Rhinolophus ferrumequinum: one gene and its partner. The protein of the gene in region 2 interacts with the protein of the main gene of each other region in a pairwise test. Links are inferred from orthologs where the notes say so. Each region holds a gene or a part of one and is shown on either strand. Other genes may lie near its edges.

Evidence for each region. The genes of interacting proteins can lie anywhere in the genome.
Region 1: the proteins of MID1 (region 2) and UBTD1 interact in binary tests that used the Homo sapiens proteins (3 or more experiments, as listed by UniProt). The two-hybrid records come from large-scale screens. The link is inferred for Rhinolophus ferrumequinum from reciprocal best matches to the Homo sapiens genes MID1 and UBTD1.

The regions. Positions count from the first base shown.
Region 1 is NC_046299.1:26,307,655-26,315,496, forward strand, and holds the start of UBTD1 (ubiquitin domain-containing protein 1), read right to left. Parts: upstream 3,046-7,842; 5' UTR 2,703-3,045; coding exon 2,633-2,702; intron 1-2,632. UniProt on the Homo sapiens protein: May be involved in the regulation of cellular senescence through a positive feedback loop with TP53. Is a TP53 downstream target gene that increases the stability of TP53 protein by promoting the ubiquitination and degradation of MDM2.
Region 2 is NC_046284.1:118,835,004-118,842,724, forward strand, and holds the start of MID1 (E3 ubiquitin-protein ligase Midline-1), read left to right. Parts: upstream 1-4,707; 5' UTR 4,708-4,810; intron 4,811-7,721. UniProt on the Homo sapiens protein: Has E3 ubiquitin ligase activity towards IGBP1, promoting its monoubiquitination, which results in deprotection of the catalytic subunit of protein phosphatase PP2A, and its subsequent degradation by polyubiquitination.

The DNA.
Region 1 (7,842 bases), on a different chromosome or scaffold from region 2:
CTAAAATCAACAAATAACGAGTGCTTCCTCTGTACAAGTCATTGTGCTAAATGCTGTGTGTGTGTGTGTGTGTGTGTGCACGCGTGCAAGTGTGCATGTGCATGGTTATATAAGTGAAAAAGAGAGACAGGCGTGCATGCGTGCGCACGCACGCGCGCGCGCACACACACACAAGGAAGGATAAGACAGAAGCCAGGTCTTCAAGGCTTGCAATGTAGTTGCTGATGTAAGACTATAAACATCAAAGAAATGACTAATAATATGGAGTAGATAATTGTTAAGTGGCATAACGTGTCTGCAGGAGTTCTCAGAAGAAGCAATCAGATCTACAGGGGAGGGGGTGGCACTGTCAGGCAAGGTGCTTCTAGAAAGATATGAGATTTGAGATGGACCTTGAAGGCTAGAAAGGGTCTTGATAAACGGGGAAATGGCACGAGCAAACACTGGCGGCCTTTATTGTCAGGTAAGAGAAAGAAATCATGCCTTAAAAATAAGGACTGGACCAGATTTGAACGACCTTGAAAGTTAAAGTTTTTGTATAAGTGAGGAGGTACAAAATTTTTTTCTGAACATAGAACGATAGGGCTTGAAGCAGGTTAATTTAACAAACAAAACGTCTTCTGGGGGGACCATGGTGTGCAGGCACTGGATGAATGACTGAAGATGATTTTGCCTTTGATGGGGAACTAACTTCAACCTGGGAGATGAGTTGGACTTGAGGTGACAAGCGTGTGAAGTAGAATGTGAAGGGGCAGGTTTGTACCACCTGCTGAAGGAAACACCAGCAGGTCCCAATGACTAACCGGCTGGGAGGCAGAGCACAGGAGGCAGAGAAAGTCAGCAGAGAGAGGTCTTCAAAGTCCAAAGTTAGGCAGCTGCAAGGATGGAAGAGCATAGGGAAGCTGCCTGAGGGGGGAGAGATGCAGAGCTTGGTTTTTAGAAGTGCTGAATCTGAGGATAACTATATCGCAATGTCCAGTGTGCATTCAACGACACGAGTCTGGAGTCTGAGAAGGAATAGTTGAAGATACAGCTTAAGTGTCTCCCCAATGGACAAAGAGTTGTGGGACTGATTAAAATTTCTCTGGAAGGAAGTGTAATGAGAGAAAAAAAAGGAATGTCAAATTGAACCACTGGTGTGCTCACACCTAGGAGGTGATGGCGGATAGGAGTGAGCTGAGAAAAAAAACCAAGATAGTCTAATAAACACCACGAAGGGAAGGGGGTAGAGTTTCAAGGAGGAGAGGGCTGACAGTGAAAAATGCGACAAAATCAATCATGTGGACTGAGCACATAAATAATAAATATTTGTTGAATAAATGAATGAAATAAGGAAGAAAGGCTTTGGGTTTGAGAATCAACTTTCCTCAGTCAGAATGGCCAGGGTTGCCAAGAGGATTTCAATGTTAAATTTTACCCTGTTCTACAAAAACACATATCTTCTTCCACAAGTCATCCTGTCCACAACACAGACATCCTTCCCTGCTTCACCCATGTTTCCCCTCATCCTCTTTCCCAGTTTCCGCAAATCAACCAACACACCTTCGGTGTCCAAGGAGACAGGAAACTCCAACTAGAGTTTCCACTTCATTAACAACTCTGCCTGTGGCTCCTCTTACATAAAGGGATATGTGGCAATTGAGTGGAAGAGGAGACTATGTTCTAGCCCCAACTGTACTACTAACTAGCTGTAAGAGTTTGGGCAAGTTGCTCAACCTCTCTGGATGTGGGCATTTTCACAGATAGGAGGAGGTAGGTCTATTTGGACTCCAGACAAGTTTAGAAGGTGCCTTTCAACTCTAAAGATCACGATTTTAAAAATTCTCAGAAGGTCCCTGCAACAACCTCAGAGAAGGAAGTGAGCACAAGACCCAGGGAACCGACCGTCAGACCTCTTCCCGGGGCGAAGAGCCAGGATAGGAGTGTACCAAGAAAGTGAGAAGGCGCTGCCTGGCCCTCGCGGATGACCAGTTGAAATCCCATTCCCGTGGCTGGAAAGGACCCCAAGGATCCCAACAAACCCGAGGGCTATTCCCACCCCGCACCCCACCTTGTCTAGACTCCCAGACGGACGCGAGGCTCTAAAAAGCCCTGCGGGAAAAATAAAGATTTCTTTCCCAGAGTCCTGCGGTGCTTTTGCAAGTCGGATTCCGGCAGACACGATCTGCAGCCCGATAATGACACAGACAGTCTTGGGAAAGAGCGACTGTTCTCGCCTCGCTCGCTCCGAGTTCTGGGGACGCCTGGCCGCCAGAGCCATGCCCCGACGGGCCGGCGTCGGACCCCGGCCCGGTTGCCCGGCCAGTGGGGCCCCTGGCCCGGGCCCTCCTTCCCTCCGCCGGCCCCGCTGCGGTTTGCAAACATTTCCTGCCCCCGCCCCCACCCCCACCCCCACCCGGAGCTTCCCAGTTGGAGAGAGTTGGGCTCAAAGCCGGGTCAGCGCTCGCTGTTGCCCCAACTAGACTCCCCTGGCGACAGGGCTGGGGAAGGGGACCCCAGTCTGGCTCGGGGGAAGCCATCGGGGAAACCCGGCGCCAGGAGCCATGGGAAGTCGCCTGGGAAGCCCAAGGCTCGGGCAAGGAGGGGACAACTGGCGGGGCGCCCGTGGCCCTGTACCCTTCCCCGTCGTTACCTGCTCGCTTGCGGGGGTGTCCTGGGGCGGCCGGCCTCTCCCGGCGCTGTCTCCCCACGCAGTTGCCCATGCTGGCTCCTCAGCCGGGCCCCATGCACCGGAGGCGGCGGGCTGGTCCGCTGCTCAGCGCTCCGGCCCCGGACGGCGGCGTCCCTGGTCAACGGCTCTTGCCGCCAGCCATCGGGCGCTGCTGGATCTGCCCCCGGGGGCGCGCTGTGCCCCAAAGCCGGCTTCGCCACAAACTTTGCGGCGAGGGGAGAGAGGGAGGTGGCCGACTCCCTAGTACAGTCCCAGGTGGCCGGGCCAGGGGGGCCCGCGACGGTGCCCGGCCCAAGACCAGCTCCGCTGGAGGGGCGGAGAGAGGGGGCGGTCACCGCCGCGGCTACACCCGGCTAGCTCGCGGCTCCGGGCTGGGGCCGGCCCCCCGGAGTCTGTCACTCACCTGCCTAACCCCGCCCCAGCCCGGCCCAGCTCCTTGCCGTGGGCTCGCAGTGCCCCAGCCGCCGCCGCCGCCGCCACCGCCCGCCCCAGGTGCGCATGTGACCGACGGCACCGCCCCCTCGGGCCGGGTCTGATTTTCTCATTGGCTTCCCCCAGGGTGCGTACCGCCCCTCGACCCCACCCAACTAGGGGCCCGCCCCGCCGCCCGTCTCCCGGGTAGCAGGGCCGGGAATTATTCTCCTTCAATGGCCCCCGGCTGCGTGCCCAGCAGCCACCTCCCCTCCCCGCGCCGCCATGGCCACTCCAGGCCCCGCCCCTTGGGGGAGGACCCATCCCACTTCTCCCTAGAACCGCCTGCCTTGGAGCCGGCAGGCACGTGATCCAGGGAGCGCCCCGCCTTCTGCTTCCGCCAGGCGATTGGCTCAGGAGGCGCATGCGCTGAGAGTTCCGTCCCGTACCACCGCCCACTTCCCCTCCCACGGTCTCTAGTTCGCGTCATGGCCGCCGCCGCCACTCTGGAGGCGGTGGCTCCCACAGGCGCCCTGCGGGGCCTCGTGCACGACTTCGTCATGGGTCAGCAGGAGGGCCCCGCTGACCGAGTGGCTGCAGGTACGGCAGACGGCGCTGCGGGGCTTCCGCATGGGGGCCAACGGGAGGGAGCGGCCTCAGAATAGACGTGGGGCGGGAAGGGAGTGAGGGACAGCGGTGACTTGAGAGATTGGTCTCGGGCAGATTGTGAGTACCGCGTGCATAAGAGGCGTAACAGTTACTTGCATCTTCTTTAATACGCCTTTACGCCCCTCGTCTTGGTTTATAGCCACCCTGTGCGCCGGCACGGGTTAGGAGAGTGATTACCATTTCACAGGTGGGAATCCGGCCTAGCGAGGGCAAGAGGCTCGCAGATCAGGCAGGTGGGGGAGCTGGGACGCGGCCCCAGGTCCTCCAGTTCAGAATCTGGTGATCACGTCGCGAAAGCACTTGATCCTGGGAGGTCAACGGGACAAGAAGCATCTTCAGAGGCATCGGCTCCAGTCGCGTGGCATGTTGGGAGGGGCAGGGCGGCCTGATCTTTGACGGGCTGTAATTGGAGAGAGGAGAGAGGCCAGCCTGAGGGGAGTTTGAGATGTTCTACGTATCCTTAAGACTTTCCCTCCGTTTCTTAATAGTAAAGTTCTTGATTAATTTGCTTCATGACTTATGTGGTGTTTGTTTTTATATTTTCCCCAGATCTCCAGTTTCCTGCATTTGACAGGTTCAGGGATCTCTTAGTTCTGACAGCTTATATAAGATTTGAATGAAACAAATTCCAGGTTTCATTGGAATTCTCTTTTAGAAAAAAAATTAGAAGTTATTGAATAATTAGGAGGCCTTCAGACCTCGTGTTACGTAAGAGAATACAAAATCTCATGAATACAGAAGAGTTTTGCCTATTTTTGAAAATTTTGCGGTCTTGAGAAAAAGTAAAGGACGCATTTCTCTTGAAAATTTAACATATTAATTTTTATTTAGAATATGTGAAATGAATAAAGTAAATCTGCAGGAAGTACAATACTTTGCTCCTTAGCAATTACACTTTTATCCAATTATTTATTCAATAATTCCACCATTATTGAATATATATTATTCTTTAAACAGATGCAAAGCAATAGGAACATAAATACAAATTAGACTAGATATGTATCTGCCACTGTAGTGGGGTGGGAGAGAAAACCATGCAAACAGATAGTACACTACACCATGAATAGGGCTATAAAAGGTATGTGCAAGGTGGCATGAAGCATCAAGGAGCAAATGCCTGATGCTGCCATTCCACTAAGTTTAACTGCTTACAGCTTTATGAAGCTTAGTGTGTTATTAGTGCTTACAATTATAATGAACAAGTACAGTGTGTTTTCAATGGCATTTTTCCTGGTGTTTTATATGAACATTTTAAAACACAGCAAAGTCTAAAGAATTTCATAAGAAACATACATACGAGTACTCCACCACCTAGATTTTGCCATTAACAATTTAATGTAACTTGCTTTATCACATATCTATCCATACGTTTAATTTGCAGATGTCAGTACACTTCCCCCTAAATACTTTGGTAGGTATATTTGTTTACAATTTAGTTTGGTGTAAAATTCATATCCAATGAATTGTACAAATCCTGTGTATAGTCACTGATTTTGAAAAATGTATACACCTACCTCCTACCAAGATAAAGAACATGGCTATATCAGTGTTATTAGTAACTATTCTTTCACATTTATATATCATGAACACAATAATTGCATTTGAAAAATGCAGAACACACTTAAGAAGACGACGTGAATAAGGATGGCCAAGTTCTTATAAATGTCCTTGTAAAATTTGTTTTTATACCTGAAAAAAATGGCCTAAACTGTTGTCTAATTTAAATTTAACTCAGCTAAGACTGTAACACCAGCCCTGTTGTAATTTAACCCTTCAGACTAAGAAAGGAGGTTGGTAGTAACAGATAAGTAACAGGGGTAGCAACATAAGGTTGAAAAGGTTTGGGGGGGGGGTTGCATTATGCATAGCCGTGGATTCCAGGCAAAGGCACTTGAATGATCTATTATAGTTAATAGGAGTCATTGTAGATCCTTGAGCAAAGGAGTCGCATAATGAAAGCAAATTTGAGAAGAATTAAATTGGTATTCCCAATCTTAGATTACAGCCCTAGTTAGGGTTGTTGAAGGCTGACCAGGTTTTGAAGCATTCCTAGAATAAGATGGGATCCTCCATCCTAAGTCAAGCTTTGTTAGTGCTGAAAGGACCACTGTCTATTAAGCCACTACAGTGGTAGCCTCTCCTACAAATTGTAAATGCAGAAGGAACACCCTGTTATCACAGAGGCAGCTACCACCAACTTTGTTTTGTACCTGGGTTCCTGATGAAAGTATCAGATATAAAGGTTCAAATGATGGAAGAGAAATGACCTGGCAGTCAAAAGCTGCCACTACCTAGCTCCAGCCTTTACTCTCATTATTCCCCTCCTGGACCTTTAGTTCCAGGCAGCCACCTTGATTTGCTATTCCCCGAATGGTTTCCTTCCCTAGCTCTGTCTAATCAAAGGTAGATGTAGGATTCAAGACCCAGTTTGAGGGCTCGCTGCCTGCCCTCCAAGTGTTTTTTGATTACTTCAATCAGACATCATCTCACACTTCAGAATCTGTGTGGTATTTATTTCTCAACCACTCATAAACTTATTAGCAGACTTGTTTAGTAGCTATTTCTGTACGTATCTCCACATCCTACTCTGCTATTCCTACCAACAGAGTCTCCTAGAGACTAGCATAAGTAGATGTGCAGTAAAAAACTGAATAAGTGAATGGAAATGAGAAAAGGAAGAATCTGGAATTTGAGGCTTAACTAGTTATAGGGCTTGAAGGAAAGGGAGAACTCTAGGATGACTCCAAGTTTTTGAGCCTGATGGTAAGCAAAAGAGAAGTACTTTGTCCAAAAATGGAGGTTGGGAAAGGAACTAATTTTGAAGTGATTTTTGGACATGTTGAAATTACAGGTGATGGATATAAATTTTCATCTTCTTAGTTATTTGTATTTTCTTTTTTTCAGCCTTTATTATATTGTCCCACATTTGTGATTCCCTGAGGAGACCACTGTTCCTGAATCCAAAAGATTGCTAAAGGACAGTAAAATATAGTTCTGAGAAATGTGTGTAGCACCCTCAGCAGAAAGGACATTTGGAGAGCTTAATTGGAACTGAGTCCTGATTGGGATTTTTCTTCTTCCTGCATCCTCATATCCTCCCCCTTCCCCTTTTGGCTGCTGCTCCAGATTCTCAAGAGGCTGCAACTCCATCAGACAGAGGTCTGATTGTACATTCTATGTCAGGCTCATGTAAATACATCTTTGATGACTCCTCAGTGCCCCACACGAACTGGTGCCCTGCTGTGGAAGTTGTGTGTAGTTAGGAGGTGCTAGTAGGTCCATTTTTAGAGAGCAAATCTTGGACAGCTTGCAAAAGCTTAGGCCTACCTATATAATGAAAGGAACTTTCGTTTATTTTTTCCTTCATGCCAGTGATACTCCCCTTAGGAAAATTAAGTTTTTATTAGCTCTTTCATCCCAGGAGTCCAAGTACGCAATTAACAGTACCTCCAGATATTCAGGTATTTTTCATTTGGGAGTATTTATAGTATTAAGAGAATGACGCACTTAAAGTTGGTGAGAGATGGTCCATAAACCCAGGAATTTTACTCCTTTCTTATGTTAACCCAGTCTGTTTATATCACTATGGTAACACTGAACTTCTTACACTGATTGTGTTAGATGTCTTTCTGCCCCAATAGACTGTGGGCTCCTTAAAAACTTCCTGTCTATATTTCTATCTCCAGCCTCTAACACAGTACCTGATTTATATTAGGTGTTCAGTAAATGTCAAATGAAAACAAATGCGCATGACAATTTTTTAAAAGAATTATGGAGGAAACACAGAAGAGATTAATTCTGTTTTGGGAATCAAGTAAGGTTTCCCAAGAGTTGACATTTGAGCTGAGTCTTGAAGCGTTGAAGTTCCTCAGATTGAGAAGGGCAGAAAAGAGGCATTCCAAACCAAGGGAATGTTTACAAGATTCAGGATATGGACTGAACATGTTGCAATTTCATGTGACTGAATGATAGGAGTCATGAGGAAAGGTGAGCTAGAGGGGGTTGGGAGCCTTGACTGGGAAGGACATCACGCCCCACACAGTGAGGCCTTAGGCAACAAGGAGCAGCTGGAGATGGGTGGGCAGGAAGGT
Region 2 (7,721 bases):
ACTTTGACATTCTGGGACACATAATGTAGAGAACAGGGGTCTGCAAAGTATAGCCCAAGGTTGGCTTCCTGGTTTTGTAAATGAATGCCCATTCATTTACATATTATCTGTGACTGTTTTAGATCACCCCGGCAGGCAGAGTAGAGTAGTTGCAACGAAGAGGCTTATGGCTGGCAAAGTCAAAAATATTTACTACTGACCCTTTGCAGAAAAAGTTTGCTGACTTCTGACCTAGGGTACTTAGTCCTTTGGAAATGTCTGCTTTTGTTTCTGAATTTGCTCTGATATCTTATTTCTTTTAATGTGGATCCCCAATGAAGCAGTACCCTAAGAATGTCTATTTTCCAGGGCTTACATGGTTAATACCACCATACCAAAGGCTTTACAAGTAAAAGTGCTAAACTGCCAGTATTTATTTAACTTACAGACTAATATTAGCTCAATATAGTTTTTCTATAGCGTATTTTGTAGCCCTTTCATTCCAATTCTCTATTTATCACTATTGAACACAAGCTTCCTTCTTAACGTCATTTTTTCCCCTACTTTTCAAGGTCATTTTGAATTATAATACAATCCTCTGTGGTGTTAGCTATCCAATTTGGCACCATCTGCAAATTAAATCAACTTGTCTTTTATATCATCACTCAAGTAACTGATGGAAATATTATGAAGAGCCTGCCTCAGGACATCCTTCTAAAATGTCACTGTTTCCCTCAAGGTTCAGCCGGAACCACTAATAATGTTTCAGTCCACCTTTAAGCTCCCACTCTTATAGAAATTGCATCTAGTCAGTAATTTTCAAACTTAAACTGCCAGTCCTTATGCCAGAAGTGGTACTGAATCTGCCAAATGGTTTGCCATATCTGTCATGTCTTCATTTGTCATGTATTCTAGTAGTCTCTCTTTCTTTGAAGTTAAGCTGGGGCCAGAGAACACTATGGCCAATGAAAGGTGAGCGGAAGTTTAAGTGTCTCTTATGGAGTGAAGTTTTGAAAGGCAGTAATGATTCACCAAGTCCCTGTTTCCTGTCTCAGCGACGACGGTGGAAGTATGCGCCGAAAGGAACCTTCATCAGCCTGGGTTCCTGAGCGGCTATGAATAGGAGACTCCTCCCCGTTGATCTCTGTAAACATGTAGCATGAGTGAGAAACACACCTTTGTTGTTATAAGCTACTGAGATCTGGGGGTTGCTTGTTACCAGAGCATTACTTCACCCATCCTGTCTGATACAGCTATTGAGCACCATAACATTTTTCTAGAAAGCTCTTTTCAAGCTAGGGACCATTCTTTTCTGTGTATCTTTTTCTGTATGTATCCTTCATAGACCTTTATCCATAATAGCCACCAATTAAATGTTTATTGCATAGAAGTGAATTGGTAATAGATTAGTAGATAGATAACTGACTACAATATTTAAGGATTCTTATGTTTTTCATCACTTTTGCATATAAAGAATTAATAATAAAAATAACTCCATGAACATCCACCTTCCTGAGTATCTTCAGGATGCTCTTCCATTGAACATGCTGGTCCTCCTCAATTGTTCGATAAAAGGATATTGTCATGATATGACAGATGTATCGCTGTTTACCATTTCCTGGTATTTATCTGGCTCAGCCCAGGTCCACCAAGTCTAATGATGGTAAGCCGGCCTCTGGCCAGTAGAGTAACCTGTGCTAACTACAGTGAGAGTATCAGCTTGGAAATCTGTCAATTAATATTTCTACATTGATGTGGAACTTCAATTAAACATTCTTGTGTTGTGAGAAATTTGGGGAAACATTACATTTTCACATTCCATCATAAATATGTGCACAGTCTTTCCTGTAAGGTCGTTAGCTTTATGGGGTGGGGGAAGGACATGCATAACTTGCTCCTGGTTGTGTGCCTGCATCATTAAAAGCATCAATAAGTATACACAGAATGATATTTTTTTAAAATCTCAGAATCTTTCAGTAATCTGTGAGATGTATAGCCATTTGATTTTCACCTTGGGGGTGAGGCTCAGAAATGTTAAGTAACTTACCCAAGGTCACGTAACCATGAGATGGAACCAAAATGGAAGCACATTCTGACCCTAAGGCATTTTCTCTTTCTTGGATAGTGTAGTATACCCAGGATGCAGTAGAAATAGCAAGGATTCTGGAGTCTGGTGGACCGAGATTTGAATTATAGCTCAACTACTCATTAGTTATATGTCATTGGGAATTTCTAAAATCTGCCCTCTGATGTTTTCTTTAAACCACAATGAGATTTTTCTCCCCTTCAAATAGGTCTTGTATTTTATTTAGTTTCCCATAAGTCCTATTTTTTGGCATAGTGTAATTATTCAGCTGTAAGTACTCTCTCATTGGGGTTCTCTATGGTTAGTTTGAATTCATACTGCTTCAGTGACCCAGCCTTTCCCAAACCATTTCTTGAGGCATCCAAAATGGATTTAGCAGAGGGTTGTAGTCCCTCTTTGAAATATGCTACTTTGAGATCCAATTTTCATTTTGACCTTTCAATTCAATAATTATTGCCCAAGATATTTTGTGTTTAAAACCTAAATGATTGTTTGCTTAAAATTGTAAGAAAAAATTTGAAGGCCAGCTTAAGGCACTTAAAGGTTTAGCCTGCCTTGGAAAAAAAATGCATTCTTCGTCTTGCATCAACATGTTAATAAAGTCTAAAGTTCCTGCATAAACAGAACTTGCTTCAGTGGGAATTATGAGAACATAAAGGGTGCAGGATCATAAATAGACTATATTAGTGAAAGCCATTTACCTGGCATGGCACACAGTTTTATTTAAGATTAATGAAAACCCAATAAGTAGAAAACACTGATATTCCTTCCAGTGGGGGAGTCAAGATGAGTCTTAACTTGATACAATAGAAATGTGTGTACTGTGAACAGAAAGATGTGTGCAATATTTGCAAAGTTATATTTTCATAATATTTTATAACCCAAATTCATATTCAATAAAAATATACTTCCTATCTCATTTTATGACCTTTCTGGAGTTACTTAAAGGCAGTCATTTTAGCAGTAAATTATGACTTTATAAAGAGTGTTTTAATCAGTTTGTATATTGCATTTAAACTCTCTGGATACATGATTATTAAAAATTATATTTGAACATGGAAAACTGCCATGTTAATGGACTGCTGCCTCGTCAGGGTGACTCTAGTTTTGGAAATTCCACTGCAGTTAAATTCTAGAAGATCTGCTAATCTTGGCTTTTCTACAAATTGATCATGAGACTTTGGACCAATCACTTTATCTCTGCAAGTCAATTTTGTTATCATGGAAAGGAAACAATAACACACACTGCATCGTGCTCCTGTGGCGATATAAAGAGAAATTGTATGCGAAAATCCTTGCCCATTTGTAAAGTGCTATTCAAAGATTAATTACCCTTCCTGACAGTGTGATTTGTGCACTTTACTGCTCTTAACAGAAACTCTCTATGATTTGTTTGTATCCGTGCTGGCTTAGGCAGTATGTAAACATTCATTGTCTCTCCTTTCCCGAGCAGAGACCTAAACCATGGCACTGAGCTATTTTTACTAAGATTGTCACTACTCAAGGAGCAGTCGACCAGTGGATGAAATGGGGACAAAGGATTCACTTTAAGACGGGTTTTGTTCAGCAGGCAGTCTTCACCCCCACCGCTCAGGTATTAGAAAGTCTTGAGTCTCTACTTTATAGTAAGACTTTCGTGGAATTGGTTAGAATTAAAAAGAACTATTACTTTACTCAGCGGTAGATAAATGTAGGGAAAAGAGCCAATTACTGGACAATTGATTTAAGTTACATACTTACATTTAAAAGCTGTGTTTTGAACCTAGAGTTAGGCCTTCCCCAGAATTCTTTTTAAAATGTGTTTTCTTATCTTCGTAAGTCCAGGAAGTTGTTTTAAAATTTTTACATATAATTATGCAAATTCAGCAGTCTTAGATTTCTTTCCTGAAACCATCAAATAACACTTCACTATATGGGCTCAGGAGGGTTATTACAGGGAATAAATAGATGCCATTATGTGTCATTTTGCCCATCAAAGAATGCAGTAGCAATTACTACATTATAAAGGGAGTAGACTCAAAATGATCACATTGCATTATCTACTAAAGGCCTGGGAAAGTTGAATAACTATTACTTACTATGCTCAAATAAAGCATTTGAGCCTTATTGATAGAGGTTTGTTCACATTCTCTTCCTGTCACATGTTCTATTCACTTCTTTGAAAATAATTTCAAGATAAGTTACCCTGGTTTTAAAAACATAAAAGACAAATGATAATATCCTATACTTTGGTTTTTCTCCCTACAATGCCTCCAGATAATGTAAGGTTGGTCACAGCTCATGATATAAAATACTAGCTGTTGACTCACAGTTACACTAGAAGGGCCAATTTTACAGACTGCCAGGATAAAGATGATTTTAATTAAATCGCACAAATCCCTTTGTACTGCAACCAAACCCTACACTGGCTGACTGACTCTGAGCCAGTCTGGCTTGTGTAGAGTTAACCAGGTTACAGGATTCCTAGTTAAGTTCTTTCACCAGGAATGCAATTCATGTTTACCTATATAAGGAAACCTGTTCGGCTGACCTGAGTTTGGCGGATTTTTGCGCTGACTGGGAGGCGTGTAAGCACACAGCCTGAGAGGGGGAGTGATTCGGAGCTGGACAGAGCAAGCTTCCTGAACGCTCCAGCCATCCAGCTGATCCCAGGCAGCCTGCTTGGAGGACCTACAGGTTTGCCTCTTCCAGATCCAGATCACAGCTGAGGAACAAAACCCCGTCCTGGGAAAAATGGGGAAGCCGGTGAGTCTTACCGATCTCTTTCTGCTTGCTTCTGCTAAGTGGCAGCCTCACTGCTCACACCCAGGAGGCAGAGGGAGAGGCTTAGCTCAGCCTCTCACCCCACAGCTCCTTCCTGAGCAAACACAATGCTTCGCAGATACTTCCAGACAACTTTCCTGCCTGTTTTGTACACCCAAAGTCCACAGAGGCAAGGATTTTAGCACTTTACACATTCCAGAGGCTGTTTTTACTAGCGAAGAGTTTCTAGACCATCACGATGAGCAAACTTTCTCATGTTTGTTGCACTCTAAAACCCTGGAAATGAGCCTTGGGGTGCTTTGCGAGAAGGCTGAGTCCCCGAGGAAGTAATAGTAAATCTAAGTGGGGTTCTTACAACCACAGGCAGTGTGATATTCTGCAGAAGTGCAATTTGTCACGAAAAAGGCAGTCTGAAGGTATCATTTTTCATTCATGCAGCAGCAAAATCTTTGCATCCTGCACATGGAATAAAGGACAACTTCTGAGACACTGAGGAAAGAAAGAAGCCAAGCTGGGCTCTTTGTTCTAGACAATGTAAAGACGCTCGGGCTTGCATTTTGACAAGTCGCGCATGTCTATTTATACATAAGGCGAGAACGATGAATAAAGGCTGTATGTCAAAGGCGCTGCGGTCGATTGAGTTAAAGTTTGGCTATATCCTATATGTATACAAAGATCTCAATCTGAATGTAATTAAACATGGACATGTGCAAGGGTTTCACAGACCTGCAGGGGCATTTTCGTTCTAGTTGGGACAATTGAGAAAGAAGGCAAAACTATCCCAACTGAGTTTTGGGGCACAGGTAAAACTTTTGAAGAAAGTCGATTTCTTTCTATATATATAGCAGAGCTGTCAAAAGTGATTTGGAATCAGGTACATTTTTATTTTTTTTTCATTTTTATTTTTTCATGCCAAAGTGGTTTCTTCATTGAGTTAGCTTGGATAAATGTTTTGAAAATTTGACTGCTCATGTGTCAAAGAAAGATTGTCATTTTCTGCCCAACACAGGGACTTCGTCCTAGAAGTTTAGGAAGCAGCATTGTGCTACTGACTGCAGCCAGTGGCACGAGCACCCGATTTTGAATTTCTCCTATTAAGAAATTAATTTCTTAAGTTAATTTCAAGAAAAGTACTCAGCGCAAACAAGCAGATTTGAGAGAATGGCCCCTTTTTTAAAAAAAAATTGCAAGTCATAGTCCAATCCCTAGTGAGGCTACTGATTGAATAGAGGGAACGGCAAGTGCTTCTTCATAAAAACAAAAGCTACGGCCAGTTTTATTCGGGGCCCTTGACTTGAAAAACCTTAACTCTTCATAGTGACACAGTTTAAATGAAACCTGCTCACCTCTATGAGATTGAAACCTAGAAAAGCAGTGTGTGTGATACAGTAGACGTTTTAGGAAATAAAATTCTTCATAGCACAAGCAGCAGAACTGCAGAGACTATTGCAAATGTTTTAAAGCTTGTTAGCTCCTAGGTGCTGCTCAGAAAAACAGGAGTCTTGATATTGTGTTGCTTTCAGTGGGAATCAGTAACCCAGGAGACACAAAACACTATTTTAAAATATACGGTTAATAACAGATGTTTCTACCGGGTTGTCTCACCCTGCCGATGAGATGGCCTCAAGCCAAATCAACCAGCACGTCCGCCGTTTTTCCTGTGAGTTGATATGTACACAGTTATTATATACTAATTACATCAACAGCCAAGGGACTATATAACCAGAAAGATAGATAAGTCTCCTGGGGTGGGGAAGGCCGAGGCTAAGCATAGGGTTTTTGAATCTCATGTTTAGAGTTCTCCTTGCCAGGGGCATATGAATTATTGTACATGACTGGGAGTCCCAGCTCCAGAATCCACTTATCCTCGGTTCCTCATCGGCTCATTTGGGGGCAATAATGGTGATTATTGTATTTAACACTTTGGCGTTCATAGCATTCCAGGAGGATTTCTTCTTGATGATTAAAGTTATTTCAGGGTCCGAGCTAATCTGCAATGAAAGATACTTAGGACATGGTGGTGTTGCATTAAGCCTTTTGAGTCACTGGTGCTGTGTGCTCCGGTGGAGGGTTAACCATTCCGCAGCTGCTTAGACCTGTGAGATGGTGAAAGAGTGTCCTGGTTAAAGGAGATTGGAAAGTAGGGGGGGAGGGCGGGGGAGAAGGGGAGAACAACAAAGAAACACCAGTCTTCTCGGAGCCTTAATATGTTCATCTGCTAATATGTGTTGTGATTCCCCACCAAAGTGTAGCATGTGAAGAATGGTTTGCTGCAAACTCACCTGACAGCCAGTCATCCTGAGGAAAATTCTTGAAGACAAAGCCTCCCAATGGGTGGGCCACAGAGCACTGGTCGATGATGAGTGGGTTACAGACATACCCAGAGGTTGAGTCCTCTTGGCATCTGGGCCATCAGACTCTGCTTGGGCTGGCGGTATCCCCCAGAAGGTGATCTCTGGACCACACAGCTTCCTCAGTTTGCCCCACTATATCGTATAGATAGGATCAACTTCTCTATCTGTCAGGATGCGTGAAAGCTAGCACACTGTGACCATCCAGGCCCAGAGTGTAGATCGTGCAAGTCAAAATTCTGCTACGCTGGGGGTCACTGTGAAGAAAAATATACTAATATTTATTGTCTTTCATGCTATGGTGGGATGTCAAGGCCCTCTATATGTCATCCAGTTTGCCCTTTTTATTTAAAGAGGGGTGTGTGTTGTCCTGTTCTTAAAGATCTGAAAAGCTAATAGTGAAGTGTTTTTTTATAAGATCCTTTCTAATATTTAGTTATCGTTTATACTTCCCTTTCTCAAACTGCTATCAGGGTGTGTTTGTCTGGGATTCTCCCACCACCAGTGTGGCCTCGTCCAGAGGCAATGACATAAAAGAACCT